Linked DNA regions of Styela clava. The protein of the gene in region 1 purifies or fractionates together with the protein of each later gene. This does not show direct contact. Links are inferred from orthologs where the notes say so. Each region holds a gene or a part of one and is shown on either strand. Other genes may lie near its edges.

What was found. Proteins that work in one complex are often made in the same cells at the same time.
Region 2: the proteins of ubiquitin-protein ligase E3A-like (region 1) and 26S proteasome non-ATPase regulatory subunit 12-like purify together in Homo sapiens (affinity purification with mass spectrometry; 4 studies listed by BioGRID and IntAct, with this or other methods). This does not show direct contact. The link is inferred for Styela clava from reciprocal best matches to the Homo sapiens genes UBE3A and PSMD12.

What each region holds. Positions count from the first base shown.
Region 1 is NC_135263.1:13,868,407-13,875,624, forward strand, and holds the start of ubiquitin-protein ligase E3A-like, read left to right. Parts: upstream 1-4,109; 5' UTR 4,110-4,233; coding exon 4,234-4,265; intron 4,266-4,702; exon of another isoform or gene 4,703-4,968; coding exon of another isoform or gene 4,969-4,976; intron 4,977-5,668; coding exon 5,669-5,927; intron 5,928-6,959; coding exon 6,960-7,206; intron 7,207-7,218. Other genes in the region: heparan sulfate glucosamine 3-O-sulfotransferase 6-like, read left to right, coding at 1-34, 562-843, 1,342-1,650; histone H2A-like, read right to left, coding at 1,873-2,262. UniProt on the Homo sapiens protein: E3 ubiquitin-protein ligase which accepts ubiquitin from an E2 ubiquitin-conjugating enzyme in the form of a thioester and transfers it to its substrates.
Region 2 is NC_135250.1:4,207,244-4,215,272, forward strand, and holds the start of 26S proteasome non-ATPase regulatory subunit 12-like, read left to right. Parts: upstream 1-4,960; 5' UTR 4,961-5,070; coding exon 5,071-5,160; intron 5,161-6,445; coding exon 6,446-6,505; intron 6,506-6,857; coding exon 6,858-6,986; intron 6,987-7,901; coding exon 7,902-8,009; intron 8,010-8,029. Other genes in the region: phenylalanine--tRNA ligase alpha subunit-like, read right to left, coding at 2,577-4,064.

The DNA.
Region 1 (7,218 bases):
TGTGAAGAGGAGCTTCTCGGATTATGCTCACGAGGTGAAAAATCTTCTTGCAGTAGATAACATTAAAGATTTTAGCGTGTAAGGTCCAGCACAATAAACAGCATTTCTGCAAACGTAACCGAGTGGTATAAACTATTGTTAAGCTCCGTTTCGATTTAATATACTTTCTTCGTTCTATTGAACGCATTGTTTTGAGATACACAGTACAATGATGTCACATCATAATGATTCATTACTCGTTGGTTTTCCCGGCCTGTCTATACTACATTTGTGATGCCCCTAAATTTTGCAAGATAGTAAGTTTTAGCATTTAGCATCAGTAGCTACTCGAAAATGAGTAGGCCGTCAAAAAATTTTCGCGTCTTGGTGTAAACTTGTAAAGGGTCGTTTAAATGGTCCGATATCTGAAATCCTAGTGCGGCAATCTATCACAGAATGTAATGTTATGGATATACCCCAACCTTCATCTTTTTCTTAAACTTATTCCTAAAAATTCCCTCATTTTATTTAAACGTTACAACGGCTGAAAAGCCTGAAATATCATTTTTTCATTCTTCACAGAGGGCGAGATACGAGATATCCTCGAAAAACCGGGACGTGGCAGAATTCGAAACGTTTGACTCGTATTTGGATTTTTATCTCGACAGAGTGAACAGATCCACATCTCTAAACACCTCAACCACACTCTACAATCATATGTCTAATTATTATAAAGATCACGCTGCTACGTTGTTAACAACAGGATTTTATTCAGTTTTTCTTCCTCGGTGGACTGAACTGTTCAACTCGTCACGTCTCATGGTTATCAGTGGGGAAGATATTTTGAACAATCCCGGAGTGCAGGTAGACCTTTTTAAACACAATTTGCCGATTATAATGTTCAAAAGGATTTTGGGACTTTCCAACATTGAAAGCTGTCGCGCGGTTAAAATTGAAAAAAAAACGCCCAGTGAGTCAATGTAGCCTAGATATCAAGTATCGGCAGAGCTGCAAAGCTCGTGAAAGGGGACAAGAAACCAACCAGTCGCGGCCCGGATTGACCTTAGCTTTTCTTTGTGACATTACGTGTATAGCGCGAATACCGTAAATAGTTATTCGCGCGGCTAGCTCACAAATGAAGCAACATCCGATTTCTTCATAACAGTGAATAAAATAAAAGTTTGTAAAGGTCCAACCTGCGCTTTATGCTATATTCAGATGATGTAACACAGTAACTCTTTAACTCCATGATTAACTTACGCTCGTGAAAGGAAAAGCACGAAGACGTGTTTCAGTTGCATTTGCATGCGGAATTAATGTATGTAGCGAAAAACTCATGAATTAGTTAACATTTCGTTGCAGATGGAAAGAATACAAGATTTTCTTGGAATACCGAAACTACTTCGTGAAGGTGACTTTGTCAAAAATCCATCAAATGGATTTTTCTGTGTCCGACCTTGGTGGAAGAACTACAACTTTACCGCTGAAACTAACTCTGTTGCCGGATGGGAAGAAAATCTTAGTTGTCTGTCGAAAACCAAAGGTAGAACCCGTCACAAAGACGGTGGGATGGATGCCAACATAAAACATGTAGCCAGGCTAAAGGCGCTTTTCGAGCCTTTCAATGAAGAACTGTACCAGATGACCGGTATTGACTATAACATGATGTAAACATCAGAAGATATTTCTACCAATTGCGGATATTTTGTTTGCCCGTCATATCTAATCCACAACGCTAACCCATACTGTCAAATATGCTTATTCTTATGTGCACTGTATTAGATGTATTTATGAGATTAGTTAACGTACCTCAACAAACACTTAAAATTGTGTATAGCAGTTCAAAACGTTACATTAAATTGATGAAATGCATTAGTCAAAATGCATTAGAAATTAAATGCTTTGCGACATTGGTTTGTTTCCAGTCTTTTTCGGTAAAAGCACGGATTGAATATTTGGTATCACACCTCCTTGGGATATTGTTACTCCTCCAAGTAGCTTATTTAATTCTTCGTCGTTTCTAATGGCAAGCTGTAAGTGACGAGGTATTATTCGGCTCTTTTTATTATCTCTGGCAGCATTTCCCGCTAATTCAAGTACTTCAGCACTGAGGTACTCTAATACGGCTGCGAGGTATACTGGTGCACCTGCTCCGACACGCTCAGCATAATTGCCTTTTCTTAGAAGCCGATGTACTCGTCCCACAGGAAATTGCAGCCCAGCTCGAGATGATCTTGTTTTAGATTTAGTCTTATTCTTGCTGCCCTTGCCTCTTCCAGACATGTTTACAGAAGTTATCCGACAATGCTAAATTAAGATCACCAAACGGACGACCCGACCGACTGTACCGAGAAATGCAAATGGAGCAAATAATTGACGGCGACGAATGTGATAATTATTATTAGTTTTAACGGTGACTGATTTTTGTGAAGGATGCAACAGAGCATGAAATATTGATAGAAACATGCTCGTATTCTTGTTCACTTACAAATAGAAAGCAGGAAGATTTTTCAGAAAAATACAAATAGAATTCAAACTTATAGTTATACTAGTTGGGAAAAATCAAGGACCTTGTATTGAACGTTGATATTTTATTGGTAAAATGATATTTAAAATATGAACGCGCGAAGTGCAATACACAACATATTTATAAAGTTTTTGTAAATTACTAATAGCCTATAATGTATATATATATGATAATAAAATTCATTTATCAAATGTTTAGTTTCGTAAATTTTGACATGAGAACTTTAATAAATTTTTTAAAAACCGGTATTTTAAACTTGACATTGTCAATCCACTTTTGTAAATCGATCCTACTGAAATCCTCATTGACTGTCACCACTATATATATATACTAGAAATGTATCGGTATCGGCAATATGGGTCAAATTTTGGGTATCGGTATCGACTAAATGTAGACCTGTATTTCCGATATATTTATCTTTTTAATCTGATCCAGGAAGTTTTAAAAAATAAGTTAGAATACTGATGTTGAATTTTTTTTTCTTGGATAAATCGTGAACTATGAGCCATGCACGTCCCTACCCCCGCGAGTAGAAACGGAAATCGGATTCTGACCTATTTTTAGCTATTTATTGAACAAACTAGCTCAACTAATTTGGATATTTTTGCTGCCAAATTTTTATATTGATATTTTTAATACTATCTAGTAATTATGAAGAAATATATCAATTAAATATTAGTTGATTTTCCAATGTGTAAAATACAAAATATGTCGTTATATTGGCACAAAATCCTGTAACTCAATGTATCAGTTTAATAGGATGAGTAAACATTCGTTTATTATTAACAACCCGCAGTAGCCAACACTATGAGTTTTTAAATTGAACACCGAGATTACTAGTGTAGGTGCACAATGCATCTGATTCAATTAACGCATCGGGATCCCAAACATCAATTTCTTATTATGTGATATATCTCTTTTTCAATCTGAAGTGCACTATGAAAGGGGCTATTGTTTTAATCCATCTGCCCTGCACATTTAATTACACACAATAATTACATAGTATCGGCTTTTTTGGATATCGGTATCTGCGTTTTTAGTTGGTATCGGTATCAGCGACAAAAGTGGTATCGGTACATCTCTACTGTGGACACTTCTTGTGTATCCATTCTTGTGTATGTTATATCCAGTGTTGGTTGTAAGACTCCTTCCTTTCAAGCAAGTCATGGGTCGTCCGTATCCATAAATAATTCGATTGCCGAAGCCGAGTCACTACACTCCCGAGTCCCAAGTCAGATATCAACATACGAAGAGGACAAATGTACATACTGATTGCTGAATTGTTTAGTAGATTATCTGAAAGAATACATTACTAGAGATAACTTTTGAAAATGACAAGACGGTAAAGGATAACGAGAGGAAACTGATTAAGAAAACTGGCCAACTTTATCGGAGCTGTTATATAAAGTCAACAACACATTGATCTTTGATATACTATTTTGATTTTTAAAGATTTAGCAAGAGCGCAACCGAGTTGTTCAATTATTGTGATCAAATCGATGTAGTTTTGGACTCGTGTTTTGTGTTCAAGAGGTGTATAAATCTCAGTTGTGGTTTTTAATGAAAATTGCGGGATGGCATTCCTGTTCCCTATGACGCGTGCAATATGCCAGAAAACGAACCAACACGTCACTTCTGTATTATGGAGTCACTGGACGGCATTTAGTGCATAGCCTATGTAATTTAACGTCGGTTGCGTTGTTCTGTTTCAAGTAACGAGTTTGGGAATGGATATTGATGGAGACCAGCCTGGGGATAGGTGCGTTAACATGATTTTCTATTTTGTATGATCGAAATAATCCTAACATAGTACCGAACTTGACTACTGGACTGTGGCGAGGGGATTTCAATTAGGTGTTTTCAACCTTCCATCATTGTTACCGTATTCCACATCACTTTTTTGTTTGGCGTCATTTCAAAAAGCTACCGTACCGTACAGCCGTATGATGTTTACTTCGCTACCGGTAGACCCTTTGAAATCCGCCTCAAGAGTTAGACTATATACCTGCAATAAATACGGTATCATGTTATAGTGTTAACTATTTTCATACCGTACATCTGCAGATCTGTACATGCATCTGCATGAGCTACTATTCAGATGAGGGGTTGTGGTTCACCATATTCGATAGTCTTATACGGTACTTGATCTGGTTTAATATCCCATGGGATAAGCATGAAAAAAATTGTACCTGCTGACTGAGTGACTGGTAGGGTGGTGCAGCCAGTCTGCGGACGATTTCATTCAAACCGCTATGAAAAATAAAAACTAATATTTCTAACCCGTTAATTTTTTCACCGTATGTGCATTGGCATTTATTCTACACGGTAATCCTCGAATTAACTTTCTACGACTAGGGATTAAAGCTATAGTCTACAAACCATCAAAGTACGACACTCGGAAGACGTGTTTGCGACCGAACGACCAGTGTGCGACCGCGGATTTCAAGCCTTGAACATCGCTTATGCTGCGGTGAGACTAGCACATACGCAGCCATGCGTGAAAAAATTGGGCTTCTAATTGCACTTCTGACCGTCATATATTTTAAGAACACGGTTATTTCGAACACAACTCGTCAAATTATAAACAAAGCACCGCATCACAGCATTCAAACAGGCAAAAACACGGTGATCGCAAATTGGTCGACAAAGATATTATCGACGTATTGGAAATGGGCACCCCCCTATTCCCCCTCCTTTAAATGTTGAAACGCGGATGGTTAAAAGAACCACAACTCTACCCACCTGCCAAGTTTCATCTTTCTATCTCCTATATTTGTATAGATTTTCAAGCTTTTTTGAGGGGACAATGGGTAGTTGGCGACATGAAAAAATGGTCCGTTTTTTTTCTTCGGGCGGGTTTTCAGTCGTAACTTTTTTGTTTGTGGCCGCATTTTAGTGTAATTTCGCAGAGCTACGAGGGATAAGTGGACGAAAATGCGTGAGAAATATTTTCGCGGTTCGTTAATTTTTTCAGTATTAAATTAATCGATGAAGTTGATGGCCGCGAAGTGAGTGAGCCAACCTAAATCCTGTTCCATGTTATTGATGAAAGATCAATACATTGATTGATTTTTCTCAGTCTGTCAGTGTTTTTTTTAATGATTGATTACCAATTATAATATTACAATCTAGCAATTCATATCAGATTTTATATGTTTTCAGGAACTCTGAAGTAACATCAAATACAGAGCCATCCAACTCTAACGGTATCGAAGCAAATCAAAATTGCTCTGTGTCGACAGCAGCAAAAATGTCTTCAAACAGCAACCAAACAAATTTGAAGCAACAAGCTATAAAACGAAAAATAGAGCAATATTTTCATAGGCTGACTCAAGGATGCAAAAGAGAAAATTGTACTAATCCAAATTGTGCATCAAATCCTTCGTGGAAAAAGTTATCAGAAAATGATGCCGCACTGAAGGTAATGTAAATTGCATAGATTAATTGCTCAAAAATACAGGTATAAATTGTGATGTACTAGATGAGTATAATATGTAGTTGGTCTTTCAGAAACCTAATTGATATCATATGCTACTCTTAGAATAAGATAGGATTTACATCTTTATCCTGGGGGAGATGGAAGCCGATAAGATGGCGAACCACGACATCTCGACTAGTTACCAGTCTATGCTGGGTATGGGATAGATCAGAGATGTCCAGCCTGCGGCCGCATGCAGCCCACGGCAAGAATTCGTGCAGCCCACTTGAAGTTTTTATGTGAATACGGACATATAAGACATAAAAATTTCCTGGTACGATATCAAATCTTACTAGATTTTAAGGCTATAATTTCACGGGCCTCCGCCGTAAAAAAAGCGGTATTAAATTGATTGAAAGATTGATCATTGGCAATCAATGTATCTGCATATTGCATAAAAGTTGAGTTGAATTTCATGGTGCATGGTCTTTGTGTGAATCTTGTGTTCAGAAATCCGCAAAATTGTTGCGCAATACAGGCGTATGATTCAGCGACGCTCAAATTCTAACGTAAATCAGAAATGGGTTGCTATTTAAGTTTGCTAAAAACGTTTGTGGCCCGCATCGAATTTCCCCATTTGAAAGTGGCCCGCAACACTAAAAAGGTTGGACGTGCCTGGGATAGATGATTCAGATTGATGAAAGAAGCTGTGACCAATTGATGTCATGAACCACCCTACCGCGCCAAGGAGTCCAGCAATCTTTTTGCACATAATCATTCTCCACAGGATTCAAACCTGTGAACCCATACAAGGTAATCAGAGGAGGTGTGTTGGAAATTGTATTGTTAACTCTTGGGCCACACCACCAAGCACTTAATAGTCAACTTTGTTAGCTGTCGATACATTTGTATTAATTAGACTATTATTTTTATCTTATTCTAATACCTTACTATCTTTGGTCGTTTGAGGATGGACAATAAGTTTAAAATATGATTGTTCTCATGTCATTGACTCATGATATGTTCTTTTGAAAGGCAATCAAATTGGTTCGTGAAAAGGCTGAAATTTGTTTATTACAAAGTGAAGAAATCAATTCATCACAGAGTTCTTCTTCTTCCATATCTGCTGGGCATAACAAATCTGAAAATGGAAGTACCGGGAATGTGTCGCTATCAGATAATATGCCTAGTGCTATGGACACCAATAATAAAACACCTTCATCCGATGTGGAAACAAAGCCACTCTTAAGTGAATCGAATATGGAGATAATTCGAGTGGAGGGTATGTTGTTAA
Region 2 (8,029 bases), on another chromosome or scaffold:
TGATTGTATGGCTACCGGTACGGTCAGACGCAAAGCGACTATAACCGACTACCGGTATTTGGTAAGACGGTACGGTACCGGCATCGCGAGTGTCCAGACAACTGAGTAGTTAAGCAGCATTCTCCAATTAAATTACCTTATACACGTAAAAACAAATTTTCCGAATTTTCGTATTCAATTCTATATTCTCTTATCATTATTATAAATATATTACTTCTTGTTGAACTTGTAGCATGGAGAATTTATAGAACATTTTCATATTGAATATTGCTCAAGAAAATCAGTAGTGAGTTTGAAACCCAGGGAACACATTTGTGCGCGTAGGATTATGCCTGACAACGTTGGTCCCAAGCAGAAGCAAATTTTCTAAAAATAAAAACGCGTGACAACGATGGGCCACGAGGCGGACCATCGTTGTCAACCTTTTTATTTTCTTTTTATTCAATTTTTTTTTTAATTTTTTTTTTTTTTAATTTTTTTTTTTTTTTTTCGTTTCTATTTATTTATTTTGTTTTAATTTTAATTTTTTTTTTAATTTTTTTTTTAATTATTTTTATGTTTTTTTACAAAAAAATTTTTATTATCGGTTTTTTATTTTATTTTTTATTTTTATTTTCAATTTTACGCGTGACAACGATGGGCCACCATACTTGTCACACTGGCTCCGCTCAATCGCAATGTTGTCACTCCGATTATTTTCGAAGATAAAACCTTTCGAAAAATCCGTAAAGTTTCTGTCAATTCTCACGTAGTAAAAGTTATTTCAGTACAATAAAAATACATAAATAAATACAAAAAGTGATCGAATATACTTTAATTATCTTATATATCATCACAAACCGGGGAAAAGTCGCGTCCTCAGCTTTGTTTAATGTTAACAAGAAAATTTTCGACGTCAATTTAAAAGTAAGGGATAAAAAGGCAAATCCCGCTCACAATTGCCCGTGTTTCGATTTTAGTGACGAAATGTTTTTAAAGGTCAAGCAAACATAACTTGTGCCGTAGGCACATTTTCGATGCCTAGAAAAGCGTTTTTAGACTGTCGCGGGCCTCAACAAAACTTATATTGTTTACAGTTTTATTTTTAGTATTTTATATTGCCACTTTTCAACTTTTCGACATAGTAAATGCTTTGATCTTTGCCCGCAAATTATGCTGGGCCTTGCACGAAATCCATAACGTGAAAAGATACGTCCAGCGGTGAAAATTGTTTATAACAACTTTAGATCTAGTTAATTTTTTAGCGATAATAATTAATTGTTGTAATGAAACACAGTTTGCCACTTTCACTTCTCTCGCAAGTGCCAACAATAACACTATTGAAAGATTTTGACAATGAGAAAATCATGTTAAATTGTACAAAAATGAATTAGTTGTGTAAAACCGTGGCGTGTGATCGGCGGTGCGTTTGAAGACGGAGTATTACCCATGCGGGCGCGCATGTTTCACAAAATTGTGAGGTGCTCGGAAGGCGATCTGGTCCAAATTATTGTAAGAAAACATTTATAATATCGGTAACTATTACCGTTTAATTGCGCTTGACTATCGCACTTTTCGGAAATGATAATTTTGTAAGGCGGAAACAACATGTATTACATTTTTTTGCGAAATTATTGGGGGGGCGACCGCCCCTGGTTTTAGGGGATATTTCCACATTGAGGGGGTGGTGTATATTTTGTTGGTGATAAAACATGTATTTGACTGGAGCATTTGCACCGGCATATATACGCCACTTTGAATATGTAAGTTAAGAAGACCATCTCAATTTTAGGGGGGCAATAGGGAAATCAGTGGTAAAGTGAACAGCTGTTTATTCTTCTTCTATTCAATAACGCCAAAGCATTGGTTCATCCTGACCAAATAACTGTATGTAGCTTCAAGATAAAACAAAGTTCTAGATTTGATAACATTTATTTTAGTTCACCACAACAATGAGTAAGACTTCTACAAAGTTTCAAACTTTTTCATAAATAAATGATTGCAGCAGGTTTAAATACACATAATATGATCATTTGTATAACTTTATTGTCTGCTGCAAAGAGGTTCAGGATTTGAAAAATTGGGAATTGTTTTTATTTTGCTTGGTTGAAAGATGTTTATATATAGAATGCACAAAATCAGATCTACACAAAATCCGTACGTCTGCTATTTGCTTATTGAGTGGTGAATTTTGTTGCATTTCAAATAATTGTTTACATCAGACAAATTGGTAAGCCAAAATTAAGCTTATATATTTACTTGGTCTGACGTAATACCTAGTCGAATAATATTCATATGAAAGCCGTTGACTATTTAAATAGCATTTAAAAACTTTAACATTGGCATATGATTTTCAAACATAGAGACAATAACATATGGGAACAGAAATACAACATTGTAGAAGAAGAAAAAAATTAAAAAGGTCGGGTGCTATTCCTGAAAAGCAACACCTAATAAAGTTGTAGAATGGTGGCAAAGCAGCAATCTGAATCCCAGGCTCCAACGATCTTTTATCAAACAAGGTTCCTATATTCGTTCAGTCTCGTGATGTAGTCTTATACCATGATATAGTTAATTGCACAAAGCTGTTTATTTAATCAAAAGTCCATTCTACAGACAGGGTTATCTTGTACCATTTGTAAATTGATTTTATGGCCGACCAAATCCCTGATATTATCTATACCATATTTTATCATTGTCGGACGTTCTAATGACAAACCCCATGCGATAACATTAACATCTTCCGGAAGGCCCATTGGTAATAACATTTCGGGTCGGAAAATTCCAGAATTTCCAACTTCTACCCATTTTTTGAGTCCTTCGTGGTAGCTGAATATTTCCATTGATGGTTCAGTGTATGGGTTGTAAGCTGGCTTGAAACGTAACTTTGTAATACCAAGTTTATGAAAGAACGCTTGTAGCACTCCCATAAGATCTCCAAGAGTTACGCTGTAATCTGCAACTACACCTTCCACTTGGTGGAACTCGGCGAGATGAGTTGCATCCAAAGATTCGTTTCGAAACACTCTATCTATTGAGAAGTATTTACTGGGTTTAAATCCTTCTTTAGCAAGTTTATACAGCATCCTGGCGCTCACAGCTGTAGTGTGAGTACGAAGTAAATTTTTCTTCGCTTCCGAGTACTTCCAGTCGTAACAATACCCTTGCGAACCGAAACCACCTTCTGAGTGAACTCTTTTAACTTTTTCTGCATAGTCAGCTGGAAAAGTGTCACACTCCGCAGGGTCGGAAATGAAAAAAGTGTCATGAGCGTCTCTAGCTGGATGTTGCTGAGGTTGGAACAAGGCGTCAAAATTCCAGAATGAGCTTTCTACATAATTATTCGTTGGCATTTCTGTGAACCCCATTTCAAGAAATATTTGTCGATAAACAGATCGTACTTTCAAAAGGGGATGCAAGTGTCCTGCTGAAGGTTTGATACCCATCGCAGAGTAGTTGTAATCTTTAAAAGTTGTTGTTTTCCATGAGCCATCTTGTATCATTTGAGCTGTGAGATCCGTTGCTGCCTTCTCAATTTTCGTTGTGAACTTTTCACCTTTCGTAACATCAAAACTCTTTATAGTAACTTCCTCCACTAATTTACGTTTTTTCAACTCCGCCCTATCTTTGTCAGGAATGGGAGATCCTTGTTTTATTCTTGATAAATTATCTCTAACAATATCAGTTGGGTTTACGCCATCAGCGACAAAAATCTTCGGTGCGCCACCCGATTTGTCCACTTTGATCCATCTATTAGACATCGCCTTGCTGAAGCCAATTTTATCATTTTTATCTTTCACCAGTTCAGATTGCGCAATACCATCTGCTGGAACTCTTTTGAAAATATTAAACTCATAACTTCCACTTGATTCGAGCTTTTTACCCTCGGTTGAGAGAACCCAATTTTTGTCTGTTTTCTGTGAGGCGTCTATCACGCCTTCATGAACTTGTAAGCTTTTTATTAAACCGACAATTTTTTGATGTTCCAAATTTTTGGTTTTTGCGTATGAAATTGAGTTGACACGTTCATTCAATTCCAAGAATTGCAATAACTCAGTTGCCATATCTACTTCTTTCTCAGTCATATTTACTGAATAGTGCTGAAATGAATTACGATAAGTTGTAATGCACTAGCGACTAGCCTAGTAAAAAAAAAGACATTTCATTAAACCAATGGCAGAATGGCACAGCTCCAGCAATAATTTGCTTTCTATAGGCTCTGCATAAACTTTCAATAGACTTATAGAGTTATGCTCGAAGAGTCAAATATATGGACACGAAAAAATAATACTGTAATAGCCTTCTAGCGAAAAATACAATTTTCAATCACTGAAAATTGCAAAGCAATTGGTGATCCAGTTGGTAAAAAAAAGTCATTTTTTCATAACGATAAGAAGAAAAATACCGAGAAAAACAACAACAAAAAATAAAACGATGCATGGATCCACTTGTGTGTCCAATAAATACTACCGCCTGCCTGCATGATGTAACACTTCGAAATTATGAAGTGGACACCCTACTCTCCAACGTGGATAAACATTTGAATGTACCAAATTTATCTCCGCGAGTGGGCGCAAGTGACCATTGTGCAAGGAGTCGTATCCGGTTGCTTGATTGTTCATTTTTCGTGAATGTTGCAACGGAATTGTGCATCGAAGGTTATAACACGAAACTTTGCTTATTTTGATGAGTTTTAAAAAAAATTGGCAGAAGATGTCGTTTTACCACTTTTTTATACTTGTGTTCAAAGTTGAATTTTACAATATTTAGAAAGTTTTGGTCTAATTATACATAAAATCCAATCTTGCGAGAGGCAAAGAATAGCTCAAAAATTAACAAATATATCTATTTAAAATATAGTTAGTCATTTTAAGCAGGCTTGTTTATATATTTACGTTAATATAAAAATTTAACCCGATATCACCATCCGCAATTTGTTGAGGGTTTCACTAGGTGGCGACATTTTTGCTTAGTAATACTGATAACATTACTCGGCATAATCTGAGTTGAGCGTTTTGTTGTAGTCTGCTGTTCTGCGCTTGAATACCATTGATAATTTCTCTTGTACAACGCGATTTTGGGAAATAAATAATGGCGTCCGAAGGTAAACTAGAGAAAATGGAAGTTGATTACTCAACAACGGTGGACAGGGTAATTCCAGAATGCCAACAAGTTGCAGCGGTGAGAACTGTTTTGCATTGTAGCAGAATTTAGGATTTTTTCGTTTTGTAATAGATTCCTGTGTTGCTATTTCATTATCCAGGTCTACTTTATTATAATTTACGAGCCATGTTCACAACCACTGTATTTCGTGCCAATCATCTTTTGTTTATTAATTATCACCAGGTAAGACGATTGCCTTACCGATATCAAACGGTAAAATCTTATCTAATCTTAAACCATTAGTGTTTTTGTGTTTCCTGATTCTATTCAGACCCCTTGGACAGTGGTTCTTAATGTATGGGTCGCGACCCAAACATGGGTCGCGGAAGGTTTAAGAATGGGTCGCGACAAGGTCGTCAATCTAAGAGGAGAAGGACGAACTTTCAGCTTTCCCAATGTTTCAATTTAGCTTCTAAACTCTGGTATTTAAAAATAATGAAATATAAAATTTCATTCACGGGGAGAACTGTCTTGAGCTCATTGTTACATCACAATTCTGATATGCCAGTCACGTGTATTATTTTTATGGTATCGGTAACCATGCACGTCGCTTGTCGTTGTGTTAACCGCGTGGAATGTCGTCGTAGTGGATTAAAATAACCAAAAATGGGTGTCTTTTTGGTAATGTAAATTGTAATAGACGACGCAATGAAAAAGCTCGCTTCTCGACATTGGATTATTCAATATCTAGAGAAAATGTGACTTCTCGAGGCACCATTTACTGCGAACGAAGCAGTGTGTGCACATTTGATGAGGAAAAAAGTTGTATATTGCGAGAGATACCGAAGGCCAGCTAGGATGTCATGTTTGCGACAGACAGCGGACACCTTTTCTGCAACAATTCGCGACAAGGCACTTGTGCGAGCGAGGATATTTGGCACTGACGGTTATCAAAACTAAGCTCGCAATTGCCTCGATACCCGTGACAACTTGCGTATTGCGTTAAGTAAAATAGAGCTGTGTATTGAAGATATAATGAAAAGGAAATTTCAGTTTCATCAATCTCACTGAGTCAATGGACTGTTTCTAATAAATAGTTGTCTGTATTTGAGTCAAACTGTACTAACATTAAAAACACATTTTGCGTTATTTAGGATTGGGTCGCGAGTATTCATAAAACTCAGATTTGGGTCGCGCTCGAAAAAGTTTAAGAACCACTGCCTTGGAACAATTCTTTCAGTAGTCGCATGTTTCTTTTGTATTATCTAGTTTCGGCCGTATTATTTGAAAAATGAGGTTTAGTAATTTTTGCCTTTTTACTTTAGCGATAGATATTTATTTAGACTACTATTCTGTATTTCAGGATGGAAAACTCAATGATGCCGTGGATAAATTATTGGCACTAGAAAAACAGACAAGATTGGTGAGTAGGTTAACGTTTGCCTAAACCTGTAAACCAACTTTTCTTCGTTCTTATATGACTGGAAAGAAATTATATATTGAAATCCGTCGATAATTCTGAATGCTCTTGAACTTTCCTTCACAGCTGTAATGTTTATGCAAATATGTCTGTATGTGTCATGATATTTATGTCTCCCCAGACCTCACAAAGTTCATTTTTCAAACTTGAAAATTATTCTGGGAAGTTGACTAAGATTTTGCAGCTCTTTTTTTCTGACTCTTTTCCATTTTGATCCTGAGGCAATTTTTTTGAGGCGTTCCAAAAATGATCATATACACAACAAATAGTTTTGTAATTTCGACTTTTTTTTAAGGCTGGTGATATGATCTCGACCGGGAAACTTCTTGTGACCATTGTGAAACTCTGCTTTGAAGCAAAAGAATGGGACATGCTCAACGATAATATTATTGTCATCACGAAGAAAAGAAGCCAACTCAAACAAGTATGTTTAGATGTTTTTGATAAATTTTTCTCTAGACAAGGCTTTGACCAGCACACATTTATGTATAAAGAATGAAAAAGACAAAATTCTTTTATAAGGGTAGGTTCAGCTCACTCAAGTTAATATACTTATATATTTATTTATATGCTCAAATGATTGCTGTTAAAAAAATATCAAATTGAAAGAAAAAATGACAATATCTTGTGATGATCGTCCGAAATAACTTCCTCCCTCACTTTCTATAATATCTACTATAGTTATGCACAAGTATTTGTACAGTTTTGATTAATTTATATTATATGTACATAAATAAGTATTATAGATATAGTAATAATGATAATAAACAACTAATAAATATAAATACTATAGCAAATACAAGGCTAAATTTCTCTCCAAGAAGAACAAAATTCTTCCAGGATTTCCCAGTTGGGCAACGTATGTTTCTAAACCTTAACTTTTTAAGTCTAGTTGAACATTTTTGAATCATAAATGACTTTTATTACTTATCGATCTTAAGGTTAGTAATATGTTGATAGGTATTTGTCTGTCTGTATGTCTGTTTGTCTGTATGTTAGATGCACGCGATATCTCACGAAAGCGAGGTTGAATCTGCTCCAAATTTTGCATGTGCATTCATCATAGCTCGGATCAGAAGCCTATTAATTTTGGATGGATTATGTCTTATAATTAGCGAGTTATTAAATAATTAGTGATGGGACACACAGTGTCACTATGGAGTAAGACCACTGTTTTTGGGGAACCCCTAACCTTCGATTGATAAGTCTTCGGTTTCTAACCGATATTCTAGTTTTCCTTCTTATTCAAGTTCTAATAAATAGTAATTCATTGCATATGTCTATGTATTTCATTATGTAAACATGTCGCCCCTTGTTAAAATTTACATTCGTTTTTCAGGCAGTTGCAAAGATGGTTCAAGAATGCTATAAATATGTTGATCAAACACCTGATATGGAAACTAAATTAAAATTGATTGATACATTGAGAACAGTAACTGAAGGAAAGGTAACAGATTTTGAATACTT